Arabidopsis thaliana: one gene and its partner. The protein of the gene in region 1 interacts with the protein of each later gene in a pairwise test. Each region holds a gene or a part of one and is shown on either strand. Other genes may lie near its edges.

Region 1 (11,904 bases):
CGAAATTGGGTCCACTCAAAACATAGTGTGCATGAAGATTGAAGCTTTTCCATTTCCGGCTCCTATGGAAAGACAATAAATTATTTTTGAAATGTCCTTTTAATTCCCCAAAGGCCAACATTTCGAACAAATAAGAAAAGAATTAAAAGGTACAGCTGAAAAAACGTTTGCATCTCATCGAAATTCGATTTGCGACCACGTTTGATTATAATTTGCGACCACTTTTAATTCCAATTATGTGGTAAAACATGAACTAATCAATGTCTTCTTTATAATTAATCATGTGGTATCAACCTTACCAAAAAGGAAAAGAGATAATCATGTGGCTGTATATCATTTAAGTTGCACCAGAATGGCCGATAACATATCTCCTCAATCTATATTATTGACTCATATACAATTTGCATGGTTGATGGCTTAACGTAGATCTCAAAATTGAAATTTGTTAAACTAAAATAAATATCGATTAATGGGCACGTACTATAAATTGGTGTTTATGAGAAGGAAACCGACTATTGTATGATCAAAGAATATCACCCTTCTAAACTTTACATGGATCTTTAGCGACTGAATAAATATAATAATCTATAAAAAATGAAAAATATGATTCTATGACCTGAGCTAAACAAATATCGAAGTATAATGTTTTGTTTGGGTTCGTATTTTAGTGACCAGCACCTCTCCTGCTCGGTCCTGAAGCCATTGTATGCATCCTCTCCCCGGCCGATGAGAGCCACCTTAGCTTCTTATAACCATGTATCACGACCCCTAATAAGTCTTCACTTCGTAAATCGACCCCATGAATTTTAGATTGATCGATTTCCTCCGTCGAACCACCAAGGAGAACTCTGCAATCCGCGGTTCTTGATTCCGAAAAGGCCGAGACCAAGAACATGACCGTAAAGATCAAGCCAACCGGTCTCATTTTTTGGTGTGGTTGTTCGGTTCTTGAGGTTTAGGGTTTAAGACAATGAATGTGTTTTGGTGATTGATAGAAAAGGAGTAACAAAGGAGGAAGTAAAGCTTTATATACAAGTGTCAAAAGATTCAAAGGTAGATGAAAAAGGATGGAGAGGAAGGAAGATAGGAGTTTTCATTAGAATTAAAGTAATATAAAAAAAAAAACTAAAAAAATTGTTAGGGAATATAAAATGGAATAAGGTGTAGAATTAGACCCTCGATACAAGGGGATGGTGCAGGCGAATTAGTAAAAAAGGACGGTCTCTAGCTTCCTTGGAAATGGACCTTTCGAAAAGTGTTAATTGTTTTTTTTGACTAGCTAAATGTTTTTCTTAATAGCTTTAAATCTAAAGTATTATAGTTTGATTGAGAATATATATATGTATTTTGTTTTTGTTTTTACTGCTTAAAATATGAATACAAAATTCTGGCACACTATTAAATTATGGGATTTGTTTATGGCTTAAGATACACAATATTCCAATGAATCAATCTTCCAAATGACAATTCAAGTTGTAGTTGGTAATTTAAAAATCCTGACTTTTTGTTAGTGGAGTTAGGCAGGACTATATATACCAATATTTTCGGTATATGGTTTCATGATCAAAAACATTTATACCGACAAGGAGTTTAGTAATCACCACGTAAACTTTGCAATTGCCAAATGAGCCAAATGAAAGTACTAGACTACAAGTCTACAACTATTTGATTTCATATTTCTATCATTTGAAGTTTTATGTCAAACTAATATTGTAGAATTTTTTTTGAGCGGAGGCTTTCTTATTACAATGACTTAAGTTGATTACTTGATTTAACTCTACGGTCGTGGATCATCGACTCGGTTTTAACCTTTAGAAACTGGAAGAGTACTGATGAAGGTAGGGCACGAATGCGTAGAAGTGACGTAGGAGGAGGTAAGAGAAATAAAGTACGTATTTGTTTCTCACACTTTCGCGAATAATTTGATCGGAATAAATTTGACCATACGAATCCTCGAGACTTGTTCTGCATAGTGCATAGGAGAACGTTTTCATTGTATTGATCGATTTTTTTTTTTCTTTTTCTAATTAAGTTTTGAAGATTTGTGAATGGTAAGAACTAATGCATGATTTTTAGTACTGTGCAAAGAAATAAATAAGAAACACAAAGATCAAACAATGAGTCCTAAGAAGTGGAATTTTTAAACCAAAATCATACTAAATCATAACTCAACGATAATTAATAAATGAAAACTCTAGAATTTTTCAAAAAACGAACAAAACATAATTGTCATGTTGGTTCGTGGGCATGAGAAAAAGAAGGGAGATAACATAGACAGACAAATTCGGTGGTACTCACACAAAATACTTGTATGGACGGACGGACTCTAACTCTGCTTCATAGTTGTCATGATAACAATATTGGCATCTATCTTCTTCCTCTTTTTCCTTTTTGTTTTTAAACGTCACTTCCCCCACATGTATGATGTACCCTCAATTTTATTTCATTATCAATCTTGCATCTTCGAATCTTTTTTAAAAAAAATCGAGTTTGCAGAACTAAATCCATAATTATTTCTAATTTCGATTTTTTAATGTGAAATATTTAGTGGTCAAATATGAATATAAGTACTGTTTATGGACGAACCATGTGAACATATCATGTTTTCGATATACAAATTATGATATTGCATTGTGCAGTCACAATTTGGTTCTTTTGAGATGTTATAGTTGTATACTACCTTAATCCCTAGAGATACATATCTGCTATTTGAATGGATTAAAGATTTGCTTTTATATAGATTTAAGTAAATAATTGAAATTCTTTTGTCCAAAGATATTTGTTCAAGAATTATATTAATTTCATGTAATTGGAAGGAATACAAAAGACTGGAATCTTGATAATGAATTTATTAATGCAGAATTTGATTCCATTATTAATGGACTACCACGTCCGAACTATACATAGTTAAACATTTTTTCTTCTTGTATTATTCTGGCGTGGTCTTACGCCACTTATAAACTATATTATTTTGGCCAAACCAATATTTATAAAATCGAAATAAAACATTAAACCGGGTTTTAAGTACTTTGTTTGTATTATTCAATAATTGGTTATTAAACTAAGTTAATAATTTCAAAATAGTGATTTCACCTTAAAATATGGGAAAGAGTTTCCTGATGCTCTGGAATTTGGTTTCTTTGTCTTATACTCTAACTGCGGATAAAAAGGAGCGATTTTGCTATAAAAAGGAACAGTTTGAGATGATATTACACTTTATTCCGGTAAATTATTTGGCTACCATCAATAATATATTCTTCAAAACTATCAATCTTCCTTTTTTTTTAGAAAATAAATAAATTTCATCACAACTCTGTTTGAAAAATCGTTTATGAACTTGAGACGGAAAAATTATCATAATTCAACGTCATATAGCAGCAAGAGTTGAAATAAAAATTAATGGTTTTGTCTTTTCATAGGATAGATTTCTTATTTCTACCTAACAAAAACTAAAATTTGGATGTTGAATTTTGAGTAGTATAAAGTTTGGTTGTTCAATGTTTTTTGCAAGAAAAATCACGTGAGAAGGAACTATTTTTGGTCGTGCAAGAAAAATAACACCAAAGTGTTTGAACTTTTGAAGCATTGATGATTAGGTTTGGTGTATCTAACAATATTATAAAACAAACACATGAGATCCGACTCATAGTCAATTTAGCTTATGTCACTCCTTAAATCAGCTGGTTTAACCGAACCAGAAACCCTAACCAAATTTTTAAAAAAAATTCAAGTTATCTGATTTTAAATTTATTTTCTATATATAAAAAATTTGGCTGAAAGTTGAAACGAAACCAAAGCTAGAGATGTACATTTTCTAGTAAAGTAAAATAAAGTAAACAAATTCAATCTGAAACCAACAATATACCATAATATACTTACGAAAACCAAATCTAAACCGGCTAACGATATATGTGAGTGTGACTTTATATACGTTGCGAGTTTGAAATTCAAGCATTATTTTTGGTCTACACAACTACAAATCTACCTTAATATTTAGCTGCCGTCTGCTCCAAACAATGAAACTTCATGTTTGGTCTACGATATTAAATTCTTTATTTCTAATATTCAATTCCTTATCCTTTTCTTCATTGATGGCTTTCACTATTTTGTGTTCAATAAATACACACAAAATTGAATGCTCAAGAAACAAGTTGGTATTTTCCCAGGAAGCAGCATACTAACTAATTTCAATGATCACATTCTTTTCAATTCAAACTTAGTCAAGAATAAAAATTCAAACTTTGCATCTCCACGAACACTACTATATAGTCACATTCTCAACTCACAAAACACTCACAACAAAATTCATTATCTGCCAAAGAGAAAGAAAACCATATTTTTTATAAACAGAGTTAAATTGTTCTTAAACATGATGATGAACAAAAACGTTCTGAGTTCGATTCTGTTCTTCATGTTGATTGGTTCGGTTCTTGTCGAGAGTCGTCCGCTTGGTCTAACAAAGACCGAGGAGAAGTTCGTGGCTAGTTTATTCGATGGCTTATCACTTGGTTCGATCAAAGACTCAGGTCCAAGTCCAGGCGAGGGTCATAAGGTCGTGGACAGGAAGGATACGTTTCGATTTGTTAAGCACTCAGGTCCAAGCCCAAGCGGACCGGGCCACTAATGTTTCAATCTTTAGTTCAAACCGGGCCGGTTAAAGTGCCCATACCCATCTAGGTCGAGAAAATTATTTCATTTTTTTGTTCCAGTTTCATTAGTGGAAAATATTATACATGTCTCATGTTTCTGATCGATACATAGGAAGAAGAATGGCAAAAACAATAATTATTGTCTCATTTTTCTATATTTAGGATTATTGTTTTGTTAGTGAAATAAAGTTACTTGAAAAGTATACAAATAAAATGTATTAATCAATTTTTTTATATTTATTTGAATGTAATAATAGTTAATAAACATCAGTGTCCAAAGTGAAATATGAGTCCAACTGCTCAACGACCAATAAAGGCATAAATTTTTTTAAAAAGACAATGCTTTATAAATGGGCGACGAGTATATTTAAAAGGTTTAAGAGATTTAATCGAACTATTGTGAAAGTTAAGGGACTCAATTGAAAAACTATTCGCAACGATTCAGTCATTCAGCAGTTGTCGTAGATTCATTTATCTAGACGGTTAAAGGGGTGCCTTGTGATGTGAAGATCTTTGCCTCTCGCTCTCGCTTTCGGTGACAATGGGAAGCTCGTCGAAGGAAGAGACGGCGAGTGACGGAGATACGGCGAGCGGTGGCGCCTCACCGTCCAACGACGGCAGACTCTTCTCGGAGGGCGAGCGTGTTCTCGCTTACCATGGTCCTCGCGTCTACGGAGCCAAGGCAAATAAAAAACCTCTCTCTCTCTCTCTCTTTCTCTGTGCATCGTCAGATGTTCGCATAATTTGAATTCTAGAGATTATCTTGTTCGTGTTAATTTAGCAATTCTTGTATTTCACGTGGGTTTTGGTTGTATCCGACTACGGAATTAACTGGTTTCATTGAATTGAGATCTCTCTGCTAGATTTGGCTTAGGGGTTTCTTGGTAGATTTCGGTTTCAAGTTACGACGATCCGAAAGATGAACCCATTGAGATTGGATTCGAGTTTTCTTTTTTTGGTAATGGATTCATGTAGCATTAGAGCTTTTTAGATTGGAATGATCATAAATGCTTAGTCGTAATAGATGCAAAAGAATAATTCACTTGCCGTTGGAGCAAGGAATTCAATAAATTACTCGGAAAATAGGGCAAGCTAATCTACTTGCATGTTTATTTTTTCAATCATATATTATATAGGTCACTGGATTGAGTCTCATTCATATCAAATGTGTGTCGTTGTTATGCTAAATCTTCATAGTTTTGAAAAAAATCTGTTATTGCATAGTGTTTTCAGTGTGTGGGCAGACCTGATAGATTATTGACATTCCATTACAGGTTCAAAAGGTCGAGCTTCGGAAAAAGGAGTGGAAATACTTTGTGCACTATCTTGTGAGGCCTCCTTCTTCTGAGCTATTATAGTTTCATTATCCTGTTTCATGTACTAGCTATTTTCATTTTGGTTTGCAGTAATAAGTGATACAGCGATCTTTGTCTGCAGGGTTGGAACAAAAAGTGAGTATCTCTCTCTGCTCTCATGTCGATTCTGGTTTATGTAGCAAAATCAGTAGATTGGGACCCATGACATGATTGTCTTGCCAACAGTTGGGATGAATGGGTTAGTGCGGATAGATTGTTGAAACATACCGAGGAGAATCTTGTCAAACAGAAAGCTCTAGACAAAAAGCAAGGAGTTGAAAAAGGTACCAAGTCTGGCCGTTCCGCTCAGACAAAAACTAGAAGCTCTGCAGGTGAGTTGTTGCCTCCACATTGACCATGCTGAGAGTACATGATACATATTTTGGTCATCCAGGCTAAGAAACTAACTATTTCTTTCTGATCTTGCACTTGCAGACACAAAGGCTGATAAAGATGACACCAAGACCAATGGTAGGCAACATATTAATTTACGCTCCCTTTGTAGTTCAGGGTTCTCCCAACAATTTCCAAGGAAATGATTTGGTAGACTGGGTGCAACTTAAATTATTTAAGCTGGTGTATAGATGATTACATTTTCTGTTGCAGCTGCAAAAGGGAAGAAACGAAAGCACGAGTCAGGCAATGAGGTCAGGCTTGCAAAAACTTAGAGATGTATTTGGTTCATACCTGTTAGGTCTTTGTTAAGATTATATTTTACAGTACAATAGATGGCTGATGTGTTGTTATGCATATACACACATACGAAAAGGGTCAATTTTTCAGGTCTTCTAATATCGATAAGGTTTTTGTTTTCATTTGTAATCTATAGAAGGATAATGTAACGGCGGAGAAGCTAATGAAGATCCAAATTCCCGCATCACTTAAAAAGCAACTCACTGACGACTGGGAGTATATTGCGCAGAAGGACAAGGTATCATCAATTTTCTCTATTTTGTGCACATACTTTTAGCACTATTAGAATTGTTATTGAATCAGCTAGACTTGAAAGTTAAGAGACATAAGTGTGTATTTGTAGTCGAATGAATTGTGTATACCAAAGTGAAGGGAAATTGATGTTTGGTAATCTGTCTTCAAATGATTATATAGGTTGTGAAACTTCCTCGTTCACCTAACGTCGATGAGATATTGTCCAAGTACCTTGAATTCAAAACCAAGAAGGATGGAATGTGAGTCTTTTACTCGAACACAGAGTTTGATATATTTGAATCTTTTCCGAAATCCAACGATACAAAATTTTGTGTTTCTGTTTTTGTGCAGGGTAACTGATTCGGTCGCTGAAATATTGAAAGGCATAAGGAGTTATTTCGACAAGGCATTGCCAGTGATGCTCCTATATAAGAAAGAGAGGCGACAATACCAAGAATCAATCGTGGATGATACTTCACCTTCAACTGTTTATGGCGCCGAGCATTTGCTCCGTCTCTTTGGTAAAATCTCATTAAGTTCTTATTTGGACAGTAAAATTCGATGTTCTGAAATTTTATTTTTGCTTTTTTTAAAAATCTGCAGTCAAGTTGCCAGATCTTTTTTCATATGTAAACATGGAAGAAGAAACATGGAGTCGCATGCAACAAACATTATCAGACTTCCTCAAGTATATATCTAATCTCTCTGTTTCATCACTACCATTTTGATTTCTCGGTTTTAACGGTTAAATTCACAATTTCTGGAAAAAAATCTTTACAGGTTTATTCAGAAGAATCAGAGCACTTTCTTGCTACCATCAGCATATGATTCTGATAAGGTTTCAGATGGTAAAGGCAAAGGAAAAGACGACTGACATCTCCAGGAAAAAAATATTGTTGTAATTTAGAATTCCTTCATTTTTCTGATGAATTCATAATTGTAAGATTTGCAGCTGAATATGAAATATTTTACAGGCCTTTGAAGTTAACTATTTGGTTCATGTAAATTTCTTTAAGTGGTCAATAAAACATCCGGAACAATGGAACCTTGGTTGGTAGAAGGCAACAAAAAAAATGGAAAAAATAAAAAAGTGTATGAGATGAGATTATTTATGTGGCTAATGTCATCGGAATAATTACATTGGTTCTCCTTCTCTGTTATTATTCTTTCATCTTTTTCACCAAGACGAACGACTCTTACACGCAGAGTTCGCGAGATCAGAATCAATGGTGGCATGAAAAACGACGCTTGAGCTCAAATTCGTCGACCATGGAACCTGCAACTCTTACTCGTTCTTCCTCTCTTACTAGATTCCCTTATCGTCGTGGTTTATCCACTCTCCGACTCGCTCGAGTCAACTCGTTCTCAATTCTTCCACCTAAAACTCTTCTCCGTCAAAAACCGCTTCGTATCTCTGCTTCCCTTAATCTTCCACCACGGTCGATTCGTCTACGTGCTGTCGAAGATCACCATCACGATCATCATCACGATGACGAGCAAGATCATCACAACCACCATCATCATCACCATCAACACGGATGCTGTTCTGTGGAATTGAAAGCGGAGAGTAAGCCTCAGAAGATGTTGTTCGGATTCGCTAAAGCTATCGGATGGGTTAGATTGGCCAATTACCTCAGAGAGCATCTTCATCTTTGCTGCTCCGCCGCTGCAATGTTCCTCGCTGCCGCCGTCTGTCCTTACCTTGCTCCTGAACCTTACATTAAGTCTCTTCAGAACGCATTCATGATTGTTGGTTTTCCTCTTGTTGGAGTAAGGTTTTCTATAGCCTTCTCTATAAAGCTCCTTGCTAGTTTTATAATTTAGCCAGATGATTTAGTAATTTAGCTTTATGGTCATCGATGTTGTTAGGTTTCAGCATCTCTCGACGCACTTATGGATATAGCTGGAGGAAAAGTGAACATCCATGTCTTGATGGCACTTGCGGCTTTTGCATCTGTGTTTATGGGAAATGCTTTGGAAGGAGGATTGCTTCTAGCTATGTTCAATCTTGCTCATATTGGTTAGAACTTGACCTTAATAAGGATTAGGGATATGTCATTGTTAATGTTTATCATGACGGAGAGGTTTGAGCTTTTGTCTTGTCATTTTTCTGCAGCTGAGGAGTTCTTTACTAGTCGATCAATGGTGGATGTCAAAGAATTGAAAGAGAGTAATCCAGATTCTGCATTGTTGATCGAAGTACACAATGGCAATGTTCCAAATATATCTGATTTGTCATACAAAAGCGTTCCTGTGCACAGCGTAGAAGTTGGATCCTATGTTTTGGTTGGAACTGGTGAGGTCTGTGAAACTTTTCTATTTGCTTTCATTACTTGAATTTCTTAAACATGTGACCCTGTATGTCATTAGTTTAGTTTTAGCAGGGTTACAATTGCAGCTGTTAAGTAATGGAATTTTTTTTTCCATTTAGATTGTGCCTGTAGATTGCGAAGTCTATCAAGGTAGTGCTACAATTACAATTGAGCACTTGACTGGGGAAGTCAAGCCGTTGGAGGCAAAAGCTGGAGATAGAGTGCCTGGTGGTGCAAGAAATTTGGATGGCAGAATGATTGTAAAGGTATTTTTTATCCTATTCTCATTGCTTTGGCTTGTCTCTTTATTTGAAATCCTCATGCTTATCTCAATCCATGGAATTTCTAAATCAGGCTACAAAGGCATGGAATGATTCGACGCTTAACAAGATTGTACAGCTGACCGAGGAAGCACATTCTAATAAACCCAAACTTCAGAGATGGCTGGATGAGTTTGGCGAGAATTACAGCAAGGTTGTCGTTGTTTTGTCACTTGCAATTGCCTTCCTAGGTCCATTTTTGTTCAAGTGGCCTTTTCTCAGCACCGCAGGTAAGATGTCAGGATCAAGTTCTCCCTTCTTAACATTACCATAAATCATTGTTGATGTGACAAACTATTCTTGTTGTTTAATAAGATATATCACCATTTGGACAATTGATAAGAGTGGAAAATTGATTGGCTTACTTTCATTGCTTGTTAATGATGCAGCATGTAGAGGATCTGTTTACAGAGCATTGGGACTTATGGTGGCCGCATCACCATGTGCTCTGGCCGTAGCTCCATTGGCTTATGCTACTGCTATTAGTTCCTGTGCAAGAAAGGTATTGTTCAAGTACTCTACGTGATCACCAAGTGTATGTTAGCTTTCTTGGCGTTGTGATGTTTTGCAGAATTGCACTTTTGAGCATTGGTTTGTATATGTTCTCTTGTAGCAAATTAAGCTTTATAAGCTAAATAATCTTATGTGCATCAAATGTCAATGGTGAGGAATGAATGGTGCATATGCAACAACATCGTCTTATCTATGAAGACCACCATATTTCAACTAACTATTTGATATCATTTTCCTTTTGTCCAAATCCAGTTGAAAACATGGTTTATTTTCTTTTTCCTTTTTTTTTGCTATGTAAAGGTAGTATCTTCACGTGTAAGTGTGTAACCCCACCGTGTGTAACTATTATAGGGAATATTGCTGAAAGGTGCACAGGTTCTAGATGCTCTTGCGTCTTGCCATACTATTGCTTTTGACAAAACTGGTACCTTAACAACCGGCGGCCTTACTTGTAAAGCAATTGAACCCATTTATGGGCACCAAGGAGGAACTAATTCAAGTGTAATAACTTGCTGCATTCCAAATTGTGAAAAAGAAGCTCTTGCAGTTGCGGCTGCCATGGAGAAGGGCACCACGCATCCTATTGGAAGGTATTGCTTGTTTAGCATCAATTACTAGTATAAAACTTAATTACCACAAACTCTAAAACCATGCAAGTTGTGACCTATGTGCATCCCATCATCACATAGTTAGTACTGTGGCGCGTCTATAACTCATGGGAAATAAGTTATCTTGTTGGATGGTACATTCATTTCAGGAGATATGTTGACGTAAAGAATTTTAGTCCTACATCTAGAACTTATTCTTATTTCTAGTTCATTACCACAATCGGATGAAAGGAAGGGGAAAAAGCAAATTTGAACGCTATGAAGCTCTCTATCTCTGGTTTTTACACTGGTTTTTACACTGGTTTATTAGTTTAAATGATGCTTGGTCTGGTAAGAGATTGAGACTGAAGAGTACTATAGGTCTTTTCTGCTGTTTCTGACACATTTCATCTTGCTGCAGAGCTGTTGTAGATCACAGTGTGGGTAAGGATCTTCCTTCTATTTTTGTTGAAAGCTTCGAATATTTTCCTGGTAGAGGCCTTACTGCTACTGTCAACGGTGTTAAGGTGAGACTCAGTTATTTACTAGATTCTTATATATATCCATTTATCTACCAGATTTTATAGTGTATAGCTGTGGGTGATGTGTGTACATCTCTGGCTTTCATTCTTAATATATATGATGTTGTCTCTCACCACATTTTTTGGTTTTGTAATAGACAGTAGCTGAAGAGAGTAGATTACGAAAAGCATCACTTGGTTCTATAGAGTTCATTACCTCACTTTTCAAATCTGAAGATGAATCTAAACAGATCAAGGATGCTGTAAACGCGTCTTCGTACGGAAAGGACTTCGTTCATGCTGCTCTTTCTGTTGATCAAAAGGTATACTACGACTACTTCTTTAGCTGGTCTAAAAACCTCTTTCCTACTTCACAGTCTGTGATTTTCATCTCTCATCTGACCATTTATTAGTCCATAAAAACCTCTGTAACACTGAAATTTATGAGCCTTGCAACTAAATTTTGTCAGGTAACATTGATTCACCTCGAAGATCAGCCTCGTCCAGGGGTGTCAGGAGTTATAGCAGAACTTAAAAGCTGGGCCAGACTCCGAGTAATGATGTTAACTGGGGACCATGATTCAAGTGCTTGGAGAGTTGCAAACGCAGTGGGTATTACCGAAGTCTACTGCAACCTAAAGCCAGAGGATAAGTTAAATCATGTAAAGAACATTGCTCGGGAAGCAGGTGATCATTCATTACTCTCGCCATAGTTCCCAA
Region 2 (10,622 bases), on another chromosome or scaffold:
GCTAATGGGAGCCGGATTTACTGGACGAAAGCCGACCATCGCCGCATACTAAGCCGGTGGATGTCGGGCTGAAGCCAATTGAACCAATTGGACGGCCTTATCGGAAAATTGTAACAGACGGTTTTTGATACTACTAATATTAATCAGCTAACATAAGTAAACAATTTTTAATATTCAAAAAAAAAAAAAAAAAAAAAAAAAATATATCCTCTTCCTTCTCTCTTAAAAACAAAAGCACCGCTTCAATTCCGCCGGCGTTGTGAGCCACCACGGTCATGACGTCGGTTTGGCTTTTTGGTTTATGTTCAGTTATGTCTCTTTAAGTTGTGGTTAAGGAGATTTCTGGGTTGGTTTCGATTTCGTTTCCTCCTCAATTTCTCTTATTAGATCTATAGTTTCGATTGGTGATTTTGCAAATTAGCGTGGTTTTCTTCTCTGACTAAATACTCCCTGGCCTAATCACGATCGCTCTATGCCACTCACTGTCGGTGTTGTGGTGATTCGGGTTGGGTGACCTAATTTTGGGTTTCCTCACACAGCTTCAACAATACGGATCTAGGGCGAAATCCGCCCAGATTTTGGGTTCTTTCTACCGGTTCAAGTCGCATAGTCGATATCTCCGGCCACGGCGTTCTCGACGGTCTCTGCATGTTTAGCTGAGTTTCCACCGTCTGCCATCCAAAGTATCCCAAGGTTTTTCTTCTGAAGATTTTTAATTATCAAGTAAGGCAAGAAGATCAAATTTTCTTAAAGTGGGTGTCTCAATCTCCGACGAAATCTCCGATGCCAGTTAATTTTCGATCTTGGTTTATTTGGTTAAAGAGAGAACTATGTTTATGTGTAAAATCATCAATCATGTTTTATTTTGTCTTTCTACGTCGTTTCCCCATGTCGGGGCTTAGTGTCGGGGTTTCATTCCTCGCCGGCTTGTGTACCGGAGGATTATATCCTGCCGGCTTTGTCGTCCCGTAATTCACTCGGGTTTATGTATCTGATATGGTTTGTGCTGATAATAAAATTAGCTTTGTGAAAAAAAAAAAAAAGTAAACAATCAATCCTTTAACCGTATCCGGTCGGATATTTTCTAAGAAATGGTTTAGTCACCAAAATGTCATAACCAGTTGAACCCATTCAAGTTCTGTAGTTTACATATATATATGGATACTATCTGATTGATATAAGATTATATAACTTAGGTGTTTTAGAAATTCAATTTCTTCTTATCATAAGAGAGTATGAAGCATTACAACATGCAAGAGGTTCAAATCGACATCTTAATCCGTTCAATTCCAATCAAATCATAAACTTTGAACTTGTCCTCTGGACTACGAAAGGTTGACTGCTTCACGGGTAAAACAGTGAACCCATCAGGATCAGTACATGTCTCAAGACCACACTCATGGCATAAAGATTCAACATCCAACTCCTGAAATATACAAACTTGACTTATGACATTTCAAGTTTACCAACAATACGAAAATAGAAAAAAAAGACAGGGAAATATTTAGTCATAGGGGTATTATCACCTTCATCTTCAGGTTCTGAGATAACCGCAAGAGAGGATAGGGTTGAAGCTTGTAGCAAACATTGTTTATGTATTGGACAGCCACTAATCGCATCTTTTACCATGAAAACATTAAGCAAATGATCAACATAATTGAACAATTTACTGCAAATATCATTCCATGTATAGCCACTTTATACACACCCATATATTTGAACAATTTACTGCAAATATCATTCCATGTAACTATATAATTGCTTTACCATACCGGTAATATTTTCTAGTACAAACTTATTCTATATCATCTTTCTCATGTTTATTTTCATTTCATATTGCATTAGCCGCTACCAATTAAAGTCCCACAAAGACTATCCCTGAGAGCTAGGACATAACTACATATTTATATCCATGCAAGCTCACCTCTCTAATATGATGTTCACTTATGCAATACTGCAAGTATGTCGCCTCAGAAGCTGTTCTACTTAAGAAGTTCTTGTAATTGCCCATCCGATATAATCTGGAAGAAAAAATTAAGAGAAAAGACAGGTATCATTATACTTCAATTCATATTTCCTAAATTTGTTCAAATTAAATAACTCATACGCAAATGATTGAACAGCATAAGACTACCTTAAAAGGTTTCGTACAAAACATATTTCCTTGGATTTTACCAAAGCAAAAGTCAACTTGCGAAACCATAAAGACAGCGGTTCCCCCTGCAGATCATAATCTCAACGATTTCTATCAATGGCAAAAAGAAGGTGACATGATAACAAATTAATAAGGAGAAAGAAACCAGAAAACAACCATCACTCCACTACTAGGATTGAGATGAAGCAGCACATAGAGTGAGCGGAACTCGGCTTCATTTTCGTAGATATAGTCCGGTTTTCTATTTGCATCATATATATTATACAAAGAGGTAAGAGTTTTTGCTAGCTGCTCCATGTTCAAGTGATGCATTGAGCTAATACTTGTACCACTACAACTTTGAAGCCTCTCGTGAGATATGACATGAAATTTTACCTGTTACAGAAGCCATTCGGGAGTCAACAATAATAACATCAACGGAACTCTATAGAAAATAAAACAAACTGATGATTACCAATCAGAAGAGGATGATCAATCAGAGTGGTATATATTTCTATGAAAATTACAAAAGAAGAAAAATGATCCTATTTGAGCATCCTGATTAAGATTACGACTATGTAAACTACAATCAACACATTAAGTCAAAATATCTTAAACTTACAAATATTCTTTTGGTAATAGCAGAGGGTTAAACACACAAACGACTGTCAACAAAACCCAAGGAAAGCAATTCTAAAGACAAAATAGACATGCTCAGTGTAATTCATTTACCGAACCAGGAAAGAGAAAAGAGTTAGAAAAAAGTCAAACCATACCATTTCCTCATAAAGGTAGATCACTCTCTCATTGGCCAAATTCTGGATGCTAAGATCTTGTCTAATAGACCTTGTCCTATCGAAAATAAAATCATGAACCACTTCAAACGGGTGCTCCTTGGAGTCGAGCAAACTTAGAAGGTATCTCAGGGTTTCTTCTAAAACTGGGAGCGGTCTTACATCCGATGCCTGAACATCCGCCGCTGAAAGGGTTCTGCAAAACTAGCAAGAACACAGAAAGAGAGTATAAATGCCGTTGGTATTGGAAAAAAATGAACCTCATTGCATAGCAGCTGGTATCTCCCAATAAGTAGTACAAACTATTCATCTTGACCAATAAGTTATGGATTCTAATTTGCATAGATGAAGAATTTCAACATCAAATTTCTTTCAATAACAAGTTCTCTCGAAGAATAGATACGACATGTCAAATATAGAAAGCTGAAGGTGAAAGTTTCCCACATTAGCACCAGAGACATGAAAACTCAAAGCTGTACAATGTGAACCGCACCTTTTTGACAGCTATCTCTGTGGATGATTTTGAGGGGTTTCCATAAAGCCTCTCAAACACTGCAAGATCACGCAGGCGTTCTCTTGTGACTCTTTCCCTCTCTATTGATACCAAAAACAACATATTAGATGAAGCTGTACACACTCTTTTTGGTACTTCAAGTGTAATTTTTTACCTAAACCCCTAGCAAAAGATAATTCTTTGTTCTGAACTGCCGATGCACGGAAGGATCATGAATTGATGAAGGGAAAGTACCTAATTGACCTAAGAACTAGATCAAATCCAATTCAGGTGCAGGATAGGGTTGAATTTTAGCGGAATCTCAGGTCAATTGGTAATTTATCTGCAGCTAACGTAGTTCGATGATTACCTGGGCACATAGAAGAACAAGTTCCTACAATCAATGAAACGTCAGCAGGATCTTCGTCTTTATGTTTTGATTCGTCTTTTTCATTGTTTCGTTTGTGCGGTGCATCGGATCTTCTCTGAAAGGATTCATTAACTCCGCCGCCGGATCCAGTCCTCGGGTTATCAGAGAACTGGCGGTTCCCATAAGTATTCGAAACCCTAGAAGAAGAAGAAGAAGAGCCACGATTACGACGATTCATGGCTTAGAGGGAACGAGATCTTCTTCCCTCCCAAGTCCCAAACCAGACTCTGAAGAAACGAACCAATCAAAGCTGTTACCGAACTATTATTTGGAATAAACCGGAAGAGAACCAAATCCGGTACAGTACTCTCAGCGAATTAAATCTGGCGGCAACCGGGTCAATTTAATTTACACCGGTTCTGACTTGTACACAAATTTGCATTTCTACAAATGCAGCATTCAAAATTCAACTCAAGTAAGAATCTAGAACATTTCACATTTCCCTACACTTTGTAATTTACATATATAGTTTTGGAAAATTTGATTTTAAGTTTTGTTTTGTTTTTCTTTCCGGTTTTGCAGATTTTCTTTTTAAATCGATACCAAATCAAACCTTTCGTATACGGTTTGGTCTTTTTTTTTTGGGAAGAATATATGGTTTAGTCATTTGTGCAATTACGATTCGGTTCTGTTTTGTTTTTTTACAAACAATAGTCTAGTTAGATATATTTGAAGGAAATCAATTTTGATTTTGTCATTTGAGCATTTCATTTTTGGTGTTATTCTATTTTTTCCCACCCCTATACAGGCAAGCTTAGGCCGGTTGGTGGGTCTAGTAGTCACGGCCACTCTCTAGACAGCAGAGAACAATGTGTCCACCACTACAAATTTAGGTTTCTTTTCATCAACTATCCCTAACAAGAATCTAACTGCTAACATTCAAAACACATAGACTAGAACCACTAATCATACTATCATAGTGCAATTTCCCATCCAAAAAAAACTCCATATTAGAAATGCAAAGAGAAAAAGCTGGTTCATCTCCACTAATACTAGACAGTTGTCTCGCATTCTTTTGCTAAGACTTATTTTCTCTTTCACTACAATCTCTAACACGACCAAACTGATCGAACCGAACTATCTACCAAGCATTCTCTGTAAATCTCTACCTGAAGAGTTAAAACACTTAAACACACACAAATTTGAGACAGTATTAGCATCTCTTTGACTAAAGATTGATGATATTCATATGGCAAAAGCATACATTTGCTGGTAGAAATGTGGAAATCGCCATCTACCCCAGGAAACAATTATTGGTCTCTCTCTGAGAAATTTTGACAAAACAACACTTGGTATGTACACACAACATCTTGAGTCTCCAATATAAAAAGCAGAACTCAATTTCTTCCGATCCTTAATGAAGAATCAACACCTTTGTTCTGTCCAGAAGAAGCTGCAGCAGCAAAGATTCTAGCAATCTCTAGCTGAGTATTCGCCATTATCTCCGTCCGTTTCAAATCCAATTCTCCTCTCTTAGCTTCAGCTTCAGCTCTCATTCTCTCTATCTCTTTCATCGTCTCCATTCTTGCTCTCTCTGATCTCATCACCACCTCCGCTAACCACCGTATACTTCCGGCGATCTCTTCCTTCTCTTCTTTATATCTTCTCTTCACTTTCTTCCCTCTCACCTTCGTTTTAACCACAGGCGTACTACTGTCTGTATCCATCTCCGCATCTTTTTCCGGTTTGTTCTCCGGCTTGAATCCGTCTTCCTACACACAAAATAACTTCATTAGAAAATCTCCCAAATTTGGTTAGTTTAGGTGATCAGACCTTAGGAATCTTGCCGACGCCGTTGGATCCGTAAGAAATCTGCGGCGGATGAGCCACCGCAGGCAACGGCGGCTCAAGTAAGAGCAGAGGAACAGAGCAATTCAGAGGCAGAACAGCTTGAGGCTGAGGCTGAGGCTGAGTTCCACGTAGGAGATGATCAAGACGAGGATAAAGAGGCCAAGAGGAGCCATCAGCAGTAGCGGACTCAGAACGGTACCGTTTCTTCATGGACTCGATCTTGTTCTTGCACTGAGTCTGAGTCTTTGGTGACTTGGTGTGAGTGGCGCGTGAGGACACGTGTTTAGCCACGTCTTCCCAGTCTTGTCCCTTAAGCTTGGCTCTGTTTCTGAGAACCCATTTTGACTCATAAGCTTCGAGTAAAGTCGAAACAGCTCCTTCGCTCCATTCATCACGTTTTAACCTATCTACAACGACGGAGGAAGCAGATGGCTTCTTAAGCGATTCGTCGTGGTTGAGAGATTTGAGATTTTCTTGGTTAGATTCTCCGTTCTCCATATATTTTTTCTTCAGGTGACTAAAAACAGAGACAAGGACTCAAGAGTGTGATGAAAGGAGAAAGAAAGAGAAGATTTTAGCAAGTCTTTTGATAAAGATGGGAACCTTTTGAGAGAGTGAATGGAGTTAAACATATGAGAACTGTGTAAGAATACGCTGCTGCTCTCAAAACTAACCAATGAGTTTGGGTACACGCGTTTCTCGCATGTTCAATGGTCGTGCCTCGTGACTTAAAGCTAATGAAATTATGTTTTTCACTTATATTGTTACTGTCATTTTAGTCTTTGTTCCAATTTATGGTTTGTATAAAGATTACAAATACAAACAGAGAAACGCATAATTGCACCGGCTTTATACTTACCTTCACAAAAGTTAGTGGAGCAACCCGTCACACACACATACTATAGAGGAGAATAAAGAGAAAAATGTGAGAAAGTGGGTTACCATTGAAAAATAGGGTTTCTTTTCTTTTATTTGTCAACTTGAAAAAAGGTTTTACTTTTGATTTTATTTTTTCACAATAATGATTTCAAAAATCTTCTGATGCAAATGCTTTTATTCATTTAGCTATAAAAGCCTTTTTGTATGCTTTTTTTCTCTTTTTAGGTGTATGGTGGAGTGAGTCTGGCTGTTAGCGTTGATGTCAAGCCAAACCGCAAAATCCATTTGGCAAAGATGGGAATGAACCTAATGGAAGTGGGGTTTACACTTGTCACTCTCTCACCCATTCTATGTTCCACTCTTTTTCTTCTCTCATGTTTGCGCAAAGATACTAATTCGGGGTTGTTCCTTTTTCACTTATTGAAAGTGTATATCTTTCAAAACATTCAGAAATTTTGTGGGTTAGTGTTCACTAAAATCTTTGGTTAATTATCAAGTCATCCAAATATTACAAGTACCAAATATTAGGACAAGTCTTTAATTTTCACACCTTTTTTCTTACCTATATGAGAGAAGTTTTGTTGTAAGAGTGAATGTGTTTCCTCGTTAGTGGAGTATGATGAACTATGCAACTTCAAGGCAGCACATCGGACATTTTGGGGTCTACAAGATTATCATCGTAGATTTTTAACGCGCCATTTAGAACTTCTCAGTCTCATTTGGGTGATGAAAATGCCTTCCAAGGCATAATCATTTTTTGTTGACATTTTGGTACTTTCTCATGAAGTTGATGCATATGATTATACTTGGAAGTTGGAACATATATATATTTAAAATAATAAAGGTCCTCTGTTCCAGGCTTATTGCATCCGCAAATTCATGAGTACAATCCTTTTTGAACAGAGAACATCGAAAGAAAATCATACGAAAGATTTTACAATCGTTTGAGAATTAACAAAAATCATTAACTTATATAGTTTCCAAAATTCAAAAGTTCAAAACGCATTACGAAATCGACCGAAAACAAAAATACAAATCGATAAAACTTAGGTGCAAGTTTCACGGGAAATTCCGAGCCTGGAATTTGGAACGTCGATGAGAACTCGGTGGTTCTGTTGCTGCATACTAGCGATGACGTTAAGGACAGAGTTAACGTTGACCGGAGCTGCAGCCATGGCGAGGCAGCTGAGGTTACCTGCGGAGCTGTGGATGAGAAGGTTGTCTGGAGGCAGAGTCACGTTCATTCCGGCGAACATAAACGTCACCGACGGGAACACGACGGAGCCGGAGTAGCATGTGTCGAAACCTCCTAGTGAAGTTGCGTTTGCGTTCTTAACACGTCTCCTGAACTCGTTTCTCACCGCCACGTAAGCTGGTTCGACTAGCCTTGTGTAGACCGTCCCTGCGTACATTCAAAAGTGTTTTGTAATTAAAAATCAAATTTCTTTTCTAAAATATAATTTTTATATGAAAATTTGGATTGGCCATTTTTGTTTTGATTGTAAAATCATTTTTAGTCCAGAAATATCACGTGTTACGTGTGAGAGAGCAGAGCAATTAGGTTACTTCCATCGCACGACTTTTCAGTTCTCAAGCGAAAAATAAAAAATATTAAGGAGGGTTGAGAAGTCCATACCCGAGTCAAAGATGGTGCCGGCTCCGGTGGCCGGATCAAAGGCGAGTGCACTTGTAGGAATATCCACAATTTTGTTTCCGACACGAATCCCAACCAAGTTAACATAGTAAAGCGATGATCTTCTAGGGTTCTTTAACAATGGAGTGGTCTTGATCCGGATCGGTTGGTTCTTAGGTCCCAATCTTAGTGATCCGGAGAAATTGCTGGACTTACTATTAGGCAAGCAATACGAGAATGTAGACTGATAAAGATTTTGTGACTGTGAGATTAAAGACAATGGACCACGACCTAAGCCCATGAGTCCTTGCGCTGGCAACGATGTTCCACTAGCTTTGTTGATGCACCCAAAGGTGTAGTTTGGGATGACGTCACTGGCCAATGTTAGTGTGTCTTGTGTCAGATATGCTTCGATGGTTGAACCACCGTAGGTCATGTTGAAACCACATGATTTGCTTACTGTGCAACTTGGATTTGGAGCCTGCAATAAAAAAAACTCTTTATTGATTAATATTTAGAATTTTTTTTGTTCTTTGAGTTTAACAACGTATTTCCATAAAGAATTGTTTTATCCATCTTGGATCTGGTTATTAAATTGCGCTACTAACGATGTGTTACGTTATTTAATTGCAGTTGTAAGTGGCGTTTTTGTATTATAGGCAAAACCTAACTAGCATGACGACAAAGTATATATATAGATCAAAGTTCAAACAGTAAAATATGCTCTACTAGTTGGATTGTTTATAAATTTCTTGTATAAATAATAATATACCCGTGACTTAGACTCATGGTACCAAAAGGTCCAAAACCCGTGACTAGACTTCTCGATCATGGTGTAATAACACGCCAAAAACGAAGTTCACATTCACATCTTTTGTGTAGATGGATCCAAAAATTGACGTAGAGGCATTCACATTACGCCTGACATTCGGTTCGTATTTCGGTTTTGGTTTTAAATTTCTTGTTTTGTTAAAAATAATCAAGTCCAAATACTAACCATTTTTTTTCTTTCGATTTGAAACATTTATGTATGTTCTGATTAGATCTTGTTTTGAACAAAGTAAAAATGCGAATTATTTGTTAGTATAATTTAAATGTATTTTTTGTATATCGATTTTCCCGGTTTATTCAGTACAAAAGTATCGTTAAGTATGAATGTATGATATGATTCAAAAAAATTACGTTGAGTATAGTTTTCATTTTTCAAGTCCATCCAGAGAATGCATGCACATATCTAATTTATACGGAGGGTATAACTATAAAGCAATATTTAGTTACCTGTTTACACTGAGGAGCTTCGCATTGAAGAGTACGAGAGGAGCTTGACTTGGAAGGGTCAAAGAGAACAGAGGAAGAACAGCCAACGCAGCCAGAACAAGGAATCCAAGCAGCGTCATTGCTAGTGTCAAGAGCCACGAGCATGGGCTGAGCCGGTGTCCCGATGTTAGCCCTCACGATGTAAGTCGGGCTCTGAACGATGGCCCGACCAGAGGCGATTGGAACTGATGATTTCCTAACGCCAGCGAGGCTTGACAAGTATAGGAAACGAGCCTTATCTTGAAGAAGTGTATCTGCCCATGAAACAGAAGTTTTGAATGGAGAACATAGACTGTTAATGTGGAACACTCTTAGATCTGAGGAATGGCTCTTTTCATTGCAGTTTATGGATTCAGATTTCAAGATTAAGAGAGAGATTAACAAAATCAAGAGATGGGATCTCATTGTTTAAGACCTTGATTTTGTCTTTGTGGTTTCTAGTGTTTGTAGAGTGAATGTGTGAGTGTGTGTTTATATAGTGAGTGATATACGATGAGTGTGTAGAAAGTAATAAGAATATAAAAATGAAGAGTGGGGTTTTGTATATCGTAGAGAGAACAGTCTGTATTCCATCTCCTATTTTTTCGTTGTTTCTATCTGTTTTTTGGGTCCACACTAATATTGGCTCTCTTCTCTATCGACATGCGCGTTGCTCTCCATCCACAAAAACTCATTACCCAAGGTGTTGTAATTTTTAGACTCATTATCGAATGGTAATCAAGTCAAACTGGAAGTCTAGCTGATTAATCGGTATATTGACTCTTAGCAAAAAAAAAAAAAAATCGGTATATTGATAAAACCGATTCTCATTCTAACAAAATAGTTACAGTTTTGATAAATATCCAATTTATACAACGATAAGGGAAATAGCAGAGGAACGTGTGGAGTGGTATTGTTTAAGAGATCCGAGAAACTGAGTTGAATTTTTTTTTTCTCAAAGAGAAAGATCAAAGGTTTCACGTGAGGAGTAGAAAGTGGAAGACCGACATAAATGCATTATGTATTGTTGCATATTATGGAATGTATCAAAACTACCCAATACTCATTACCATGTGGTGGGTTATATCTCACATTGGCCTCTTCTCCACTATGTAGTGCTGTCCATCAATTATTAAAAAAATTAATGGTGTAAAGTATCTTCATTGTTGTTT

The links.
Region 2: the proteins of AT4G37280 (region 1) and AT3G54390 interact in a two-hybrid assay, tested with the Arabidopsis thaliana proteins (one large-scale study listed by BioGRID).

What each region holds. Positions count from the first base shown.
Region 1 is NC_003075.7:17,542,649-17,554,552, reverse strand, and holds AT4G37280 (MRG family protein), read left to right. Parts: upstream 1-4,993; 5' UTR 4,994-5,190; coding exon 5,191-5,331; intron 5,332-5,923; coding exon 5,924-5,977; intron 5,978-6,086; coding exon 6,087-6,100; intron 6,101-6,190; coding exon 6,191-6,336; intron 6,337-6,439; coding exon 6,440-6,475; intron 6,476-6,610; coding exon 6,611-6,651; intron 6,652-6,833; coding exon 6,834-6,935; intron 6,936-7,111; coding exon 7,112-7,191; intron 7,192-7,282; coding exon 7,283-7,452; intron 7,453-7,534; coding exon 7,535-7,619; intron 7,620-7,711; coding exon 7,712-7,805; 3' UTR 7,806-7,976; downstream 7,977-11,904. Other genes in the region: AT4G37295 (uncharacterized protein), read right to left, coding at 665-925; AT4G37290 (uncharacterized protein), read left to right, coding at 4,370-4,624; HMA1 (heavy metal atpase 1), read left to right, coding at 8,201-8,701, 8,801-8,951, 9,048-9,232, 9,363-9,509, 9,598-9,793, 9,953-10,065, 10,428-10,666, 11,085-11,190 and 2 more. UniProt on the Arabidopsis thaliana protein: Chromatin remodeling factor. Acts as a 'reader' protein by binding to H3K36me3 and H3K36me3 to control histone H4 acetylation. Increases the transcriptional levels of the flowering time genes FLC and FT.
Region 2 is NC_003074.8:20,132,724-20,143,345, forward strand, and holds AT3G54390 (sequence-specific DNA binding transcription factor), read right to left. Parts: upstream 6,522-10,622; 5' UTR 6,275-6,521; coding exon 6,246-6,274; exon of another isoform or gene 6,160-6,245; coding exon 5,625-6,159; intron 5,564-5,624; coding exon 5,189-5,563; 3' UTR 5,015-5,188; downstream 1-5,014. Other genes in the region: SAC3C (SAC3/GANP/Nin1/mts3/eIF-3 p25 family), read right to left, coding at 1,262-1,426, 1,527-1,619, 1,925-2,021, 2,135-2,220, 2,312-2,530, 2,911-3,132, 3,422-3,522, 3,792-4,029; AT3G54400 (Eukaryotic aspartyl protease family protein), read right to left, coding at 7,568-7,923, 8,158-8,635, 9,433-9,876.